2 linked regions of the Xenopus tropicalis genome follow. The protein of the gene in region 1 purifies or fractionates together with the protein of each later gene. This does not show direct contact. Links are inferred from orthologs where the notes say so. Each region holds a gene or a part of one and is shown on either strand. Other genes may lie near its edges.

Evidence for each region. The genes of interacting proteins can lie anywhere in the genome.
Region 2: the proteins of actb (region 1) and arid1a purify together in Homo sapiens (affinity purification with mass spectrometry; 3 studies listed by BioGRID and IntAct, with this or other methods). This does not show direct contact. The link is inferred for Xenopus tropicalis from reciprocal best matches to the Homo sapiens genes ACTB and ARID1A.

Annotation. Positions count from the first base shown.
Region 1 is NC_030685.2:46,572,702-46,576,868, forward strand, and holds the start of actb (actin, cytoplasmic 1), read right to left. Parts: upstream 2,843-4,167; 5' UTR 2,817-2,842; intron 1,782-2,816; 5' UTR 1,776-1,781; coding exon 1,653-1,775; intron 664-1,652; coding exon 424-663; intron 49-423; coding exon 1-48. UniProt on the Homo sapiens protein: Actin is a highly conserved protein that polymerizes to produce filaments that form cross-linked networks in the cytoplasm of cells.
Region 2 is NC_030678.2:77,709,069-77,712,721, reverse strand, and holds part of arid1a (AT-rich interactive domain-containing protein 1A), read right to left. Parts: intron 1,736-3,653; coding exon 1,535-1,735; intron 1-1,534. UniProt on the Homo sapiens protein: Involved in transcriptional activation and repression of select genes by chromatin remodeling (alteration of DNA-nucleosome topology).

The DNA of each region.
Region 1 (4,167 bases):
TTGGATGGCAACATACATAGCTGGAGTGTTAAAGGTCTCAAACATGATCTGTAATGGTTGAAAAGGCAATTAGCACATTACCTGCATAAAGGCATCCAAAACTCATGCATGTGTAGTTTCAGAACAGCATTTGATTTTGCTGCACACAACACAAATTTAGGCAGGGCCAATGTGAGGAAAAACACAAGCAAAGTGAACTTTGAAAAACAAGCCATCATTCAGCACTTTTCACACAACGCTAACATTGTTAGTATTCTACCCTTGATGTAAAACAGGCAAATACTGAAAAAAAACCTTTGAGATTCCAGTAAACTTTGAGGCCAGGACAGCCCTGTAAGGAATAGCAATTATATAATTAAAAAACAAAAAACACAAAACAAAACCCACAACCCAAACCCTCACACCAGAAAACAGGTAACATACCTGCGTCATTTTCTCCCGGTTAGCTTTGGGATTCAAGGGTGCTTCTGTCAGCAGCACTGGGTGTTCCTCTGGGGCCACTCTGAGTTCATTGTAGAAGGTATGATGCCAGATCTTCTCCATATCATCCCAGTTAGTGACAATGCCATGCTCAATAGGATATTTGAGTGTAAGAATACCTCTTTTGCTTTGAGCTTCGTCTCCTACGTAGCTATCTTTCTGTCCCATTCCAACCATGACACCCTAAAATAAAGCGTAAGACAATTTGGACTAAATTAAGTAATTTAGTAAATGAAAAGCATGCCTTAATTCAATACTAGCCAGACAATGGAATGAATAAAGTGGATTTTCATGGACCTCACATAATGCAGACTTTAAGAGGAAATTCTAGAGTAAAAGCTCTTTTGGGCAGGGCCCTCTAATTTCGTAATACTTCCTGTCATCTTGTGCTTACAGGAAACAAGAGTATGCAAGAACATTTGCTATGTTAACCACGCCCCTGTGTATTTCACAAATAAACAGAAGTAGGCAATTTGCAAAGAATATGGAAATGTAGTGTGCAAAGTACAATATATATATCATATTAAATATCTATATACACACACTTAACCTGCACTTAATTAAAATATTTTTCCATTTAAATTAAACCACATTACACTCTGAAAAGAAATTCTTTTCATGCAGGGTTGGAAAATGTAACTGGCTTTAGCACTTACACAGCATAAGTCAATAAACAGGGTTTGTGTGGACAGTATAAAGAGTTTATTTTAAATATGCCTACTCCTAGTTTCAGCCTTGCCGAGAAGTGCCCAAAACCAGCTTAAAGGAATAACCGACACAAGCCTAGGGCACAAGAGTTGGGGGGTGCCCTAGGCACAGCTATTTATGTGATTATTCCTGCCTGCAGTGTTTATTTGAAAGAGTAAAAAAAAAAAAAAAAATAAAAAAAATTGCATCATCTTATGCAACACTTTTTGGAAACTATCCTTACGTGTATGGTTTAAAAACACTCAATGGCAAATATATTGTTACCAACATACCTATAACCCATGCAGAATTGCAGTTTTATTTGCCCCCAGATTAGTTTCACCTTTAACAGTTAAATACATAAAAAAAAAAAAAAAATGTTTTACCTCCTTGGGACAACACACTGATTTGTTAGAGGTGCTTTACTAGTTTTATTTCTAGGTTTTATTTAGACATGAAATGAAAAAGGCATGAAAAGGGCATACCTGATGTCTTGGGCGACCAACAATGGATGGGAAAACAGCACGGGGTGCATCATCACCTGCAAAGCCGGCTTTGCACATACCAGAACCATTGTCAACGACCAGTGCAGCAATATCGTCGTCCATTGTAATCTGAAATTTAAAAAATAAATAAAATTGAGATAATTATCCACCCAAATTATGAGCGCTGGTATATACCACAAGGACGCTTCCTGCCCATTACTTGCATTTCATAAGGTCTGTCACAAGAGGGCGCAGGGGTTTGCACCATTTCTGTACAGATTTAGACAAAGGGAAATCGATTTATTTTCTGTATTACCAAATAAGGCAACAGCAAAGATTTACACAAGCACCCCTCCCATCCAGCCATGGATAGTGAAGGTGTGGCAAAGAAACAAGTCACTGCTGGTATTAGGCAATCGAACCAACCGACTACCACTCCCAATGTTTCATGAAGGCAACACTACAGGACAGAATCACATACTGCAGGTGTGACTCCGTTTTTACCAGTGCAAGGACAAAATAAATATATAAGATGTAACTTGCGCTTTTGTATTCTAGTTACGGATATACATGCATATGGAAAGTCTAAACCGAAGCGGGAGAGAACTACCGCCAATATATTTTAGACAGCAAAAGGCTGTTCCGACACAGATTGCATCACACACTTATACACAATATGTAGCTTTGTGTGCAGCCTCACACTAACATCGGCAGGGAACCGCCCAATCGCACATCCCCAAGCGGCGCTGCTATTGGGGGCTCAGTTTACAGAAGAGGAAACGATACAAAAAAAAAACAAAACCCTATTTTTAAATGCAACTTACAAGTTAAACCTGCTGTAACAGAAAAATGGTTCCCCAGCTCTCCAGTATGTACAACCTACAACTTCCAGTGTCCTTTATCAATTAAGATCTAATTAAGCATATAAGGAACTGAACTTTAGCACAATTCCAGAACCAGGCTTCACGCTTGTCTACTAACAAGTCTTACCTTCAAGTAAATAACGCTACATTAAGCTACCAACTATTTCAAGCACATTATGAAAAACATAGCCAATTAGAACCAAATCATGCTTATTCTAATAATATATAGAGAAAAATAGGCGAATAGAAGCAGGAAATAGCAGAGGAAAAGCACAACAATAGCAGGCTCGGCGCTACTTGCCTGAGAGTACGACACACACACTGTCCTGTTTCTGTGCGGGCGGGTCACTGAGCAGTTGTCGGGCTAGGGCGCCGGTTTTATGCTGCGCGCCCCAGCCGGCTGCACCATATAAGGAGCGTTCCAGGAACTGGGAAGCTGATTGGCTGTAGGAACTGCGGGCGAAGGGGGCGCGTAGAGTGAGGCAGTTACACCTACTAGCTAGGATGCGGATACGTATATACACAGATACGTACATACATAGATATCAATATACATATATATGTTTCATTAAATCTACACTTAGATATACCACGCCTTATCCTTTCCATTAATTGCTGTATAATAAAGGGCGCGGTGCAGAACTCTTTCTTTTTATATTCTTTATTGGCCTGAAATGATTTACTCTCTTAAAACATGGCTTTGCAAAGCAGATAGTCTGCACGTTTATGTCTGCAGAAATGTCAGGACCAAATGCAGTTCGTTAGGATTTCTGCAGCCTGCCGAGACAGTAAGCTTTGTAACGTTACAGTGACGCACTGCATTGTGTTGCGTACAATCCATGAATACAGTGACTCGATTGCACTTCTTGTCTCTAGCGCCAGCATATTGTGATAGTGCCTAGTTATTTCTTCATGTATGGCTGTGTTGTAAGGGAAAGAAAAGTATCATTATAGCACATATTTCCTTATATAAACACTTTTAAATCGCCTTCCCTGCTCTGAGTCAGCGATACTGCTCTTTGTCCATACTTCCATTTCCTATGCAGGTCAACCATTTGTTATTTAACTTTACAGTTTACAGCTCTACAATGACCTCTGGTACTCATAAACGTATTTATTGGTTAAGCTGATACTGTCGAAGATCATCCGTCCCCCTGAGAATAAAATGCAACGTATGTAAGGAAAAAAAATCTAAACTAATCTAAAGTAAAACATTTGGAGCCCCATGCAGTAACTGGAATGTGAGCTCCCCAAGTAACCAACCCTCATATCAGCAAAGACCAAGTTTATCAGCAAAGTCTAAGTTTACTATGACTATGACCTTCCCTGCCAATCTCACTCATATGTTTTTTGAAGCCTGAAGAACATGCTTTTTCACCCAGGTGCAAAAAAAAAACAAAAGAATGCAAGGGTCAGCAAATTTAGACCCTCCTTTAAAATGGAAAGAATGAATGCCCCCCCAGCGAGGAGGCCTGAAGGGGCAGGTGTCTTAGGCCCTCTTCATCAGGTCTAGGGGAGTCCTATTTATCCCCTACCCTGAAGCCAAAAGTCCTACAACTGTAGTGGTCTATAGACTGTCCTTTACCTCAGCTAGATAGGATCCCTTCACAGTTGTGGTTTCACAAAAGCTAGGGGTAAAAGAGCTTAATAGC
Region 2 (3,653 bases), on another chromosome or scaffold:
ATATATCACATTTTATATTGCAGTACAACTCCTTTTATAAACAATTAAGGTCCCCATACACGCAGAGATCCGCTCGCTTGGCGATCTCTGCACCCGATATCCCCACCTACGGGTCTACGGGTGGGCACTATCGGGGAGCGTGTAGTTAAAAAAATAAATAATTCGATCGTTGGGCCCTGGGGCCGATGCGGTCCCCGATCCGACTGAATTTTCTAACCTGGCCGATCGAGATCTGGCCAATTTCAGGCCAGATATCGGTCAGCCAGGCCCCTCGTTTCTGCCCCTACACAGGCAGTTAAGCTGCCGAATCAGTCCAAGGGACCGACATCGGCAGCTACAATCTGCCCGTGCATGGGGACCTTAAGTGGTAACAGTATTTTTGGGAAGCCATGCCAAGACTTGTGCTTCAGGTGTCTAGTAATGGAAGCAAATTAGATATATTTGTCAACATCACCCAATGATAACCACCTGAAGCTGCTGAATACTAACAGAGATACATTAGTGTTTTCATATCAAAAACCTTTTAGTAGTTTTCACTAGAATCTTGAAGGTATCAATGGCAGTTCTGAGTGCTTCGCCAGAAAAAAAAAAGCCCTATGAGCCTTAAAGGAAACATCAACCCTATTTTAGCTTGCATCGTGTCAGCATAGGGTGCCTTATCCCCCCCAAAACCACTATTTTCACGCCCCAATTCCACTTCTACATCCTGCACCGCCGCCTTCTTCATTACAGTATTAAGCGTTTCACCTGACTGCCATTTTCCCATCCTGACATCATCGCCCCTCCAACCTGACATCTCCAAGGAGATTTTTTCAATGAAACTATAAAAAGAACTCTTTGAAATACATGTCCTCAAGAAAGCTGTCTCAAAGCGCGCATGCTCCCCACGCCAAGTGGAAAGGAGAATTTTGGAGGGGGCCTGAGAAAGCTACATATATGCAGAGAGATCAAGGGAACCAAATCGCACCCGAAAATGAAAATTTTCCGTGTGGCGACTAATCTCCTCGTGTGTCACTGCCCTTAAGGACTAAGAGTGGCAGGTATTTAAAGAATGCAGTGAGGCTTTTTACCGAAAGATTTGTTTGGGTTGACATGTCCTTTAAAGTGGTATTTCACAGAATGGTCTATTTTTTGCTACCTTACATTTTTTTTCTATAGTTTGTAAATGTGTTACCTTACTTTTCTGCTTCTTGCCACATTTCAGATGGAGGTCAGTGACCCTGGCAGCCAAAAAAAACTGTTCAAGGCTATAACTACTGTTATTGCTACTTTTTATTACTTTTCTTTCTATACAGGTTCCTTATTCATAATCCAGCCTCTCATTTAAGCTATGGCCTGGTTGCTAGGGTAATTTGGATCCTAGCAACCAGATAGCTGATGAAATTCCAAACCGGAGAGCTGTTAAAGAGCTTAATTCTAAAGACAAAAAAAATAAAAAAATTGACCAATGGCAAATTGTCTAAGTCTATATCATACTAAAACATTAAAGGTAAACTGCCCCTTGAAGCCGGTCAAGAATATGATATCACTGTACCTGTTGCCCATACTGCATGCTCATGCCACCTTGTGGTCTTCCTTGCATGGACATAGGATATCTCTGTGGACTCTGAGAAGAGTAAGGCTGCACTGGGTATCCAGAGTGTCCCTGTTGAGCTCCCTGCTGCTGGCTGTATGGATTACTGGACCCATATGGCTGGGGTCGCATTTTTCCCATCTGATCCATCGGTGTAGCCGGCTATGGGGGTAGAAAAATGATAAAATTCATTTTAGAAAATATGCAAAACAAATATTGCTTCACTGCAAAGTGCTTGCAATTCATAGAAAAAAAGTAAAAAAAAAAGGTCCCGATGGGGACCGAAACGTAATGTTGGCTGTTCCTGCGTTTTTAATACACAATTGATTGTTTTTGGAATATAACTCTGTGTTGCTGGTCTTTTTTGGATATATATATATATTTATTTTTTGTCTTATACTGGCTTAAACCTCAGATTCAGATATGCCAATTGTAAATGGATCCTTCGTGTTAATTTATCTCATTGTATTTAAAAAAAAAAAAAAAAACCACTAGCATTTCTTGTTGTTAATTGATGCCAATGCGGAGTCTAGGCATATTCCCCCAGCAACAGTTATGTTGAAGTGGCTACAAATAAGTTGACATTAGCTGCCTTTTGGCTACTCCAGAAAAAGCGGACAGTCTACTGATCCATCAGCTAAGTGGCCAAACAGGCAGAAATCTTCTTCAAATTGTCCAGATGTGAAATAGCTTGTTGACGTTAGCTTTAACCAACAAAGCAGAATTTGAGAGACTTACAGAACCACTGCATAAGTATATGCAGCAATGAATGATTTAAACTGTACTTTTAGATTACTGGTTTTAAAAAAATTTTCAGTAACATTATACCACAGAAGAGTACTATCACCCAAATTGAGGGTTTGCATGTTGATGAAAACTGAATATAATGTAATCATATATAGCTAATTAAACCGTACCCTCAGGTTTAAAGCCTTAGTGACATTCCTGGAAAACACTATAGGATGCAGTTTGAAGTGACAACACACACACAGGTTCATTTACAATAACCCACGGCATGCAAACGACAGTTCATACACCTTGCTTCCTCAGCAAAATTTCACTGTAATTGTAGGGTCTCTTAGCAAGTTAGAGAACTTTACCATGTATCAGGCTTTAAGGTCAAGGTGTTGGAATGAGGACTAATCAGACATTACCTGTTCCCACAATAATTAACCTGCTTGTTACCTCTGGGATTAGGCTTGTGAAGGCAGCCGGTGAGAGCTATTTATATCTGAAAAGGCAAGCAGCCGAAGTGTAACAGGTCCCAGCTGTACACCCATCTGAAGTGCAGCCAAAAGCCGGCTGTCTGGTGTGGAGTGCTGGCAGGCAATGAATGACAGGATCTGTGCTCTGGGGACATTATGAGGGAAGGGGGGGGGGGGGGGGGAGAGGAGGGAAACCAACAGCCTTTCTAGATTTCCCCTCCTGAGTTTGCCACACCTAATCAACCCACCCTCACAGCCATAGCAGATAAAACAGGAGGGGCAGCGGACTCTGGCCTTGGGAATTGGCCACATGGCTAATTTGCATGACTGCAAAGCTGGTGAGGGGGTGGAGAATAAGCCCAGAATACTTGAGTGTGAAAAACAATACTAAAGACAGAGGAGGAGATCCGTTTCCACAAGCATATCAATGCCAATGTTACACTTTACTACCAGCACACAGTGACACGCAAGTAAAATGCTTCTTTTCATAAAGTGATGTTCCAAGGATTTAGCCTTGATTGTATGGGTAAATGTAAATACTGATGCATTTTTCAAGACAGTATTTGTTGGTCAGAGAGCCTTAAGACATTTCACTACAAACCACAAAAGGCCTTGCCATCCTCGGACATATATAATTATAAAAAAAAAATTGTTTTTAAATTAAAGTACAGGTTCAGGACCTGTTATCCAGAACACTTGGGGTCTGTGGTTTCCAGATAAGAGATCTTACCATAATTTGGATCTCCTTACCTTACGATTGCTAAAAATAATTTAAATGTTGAATAAACCCAATAGGATTGTTTTACCTCCAATAAGGATTAATTACATCTTAGTTGGGATCAAGTACAATGTACTGTTTCATAATTTTAGAGAAA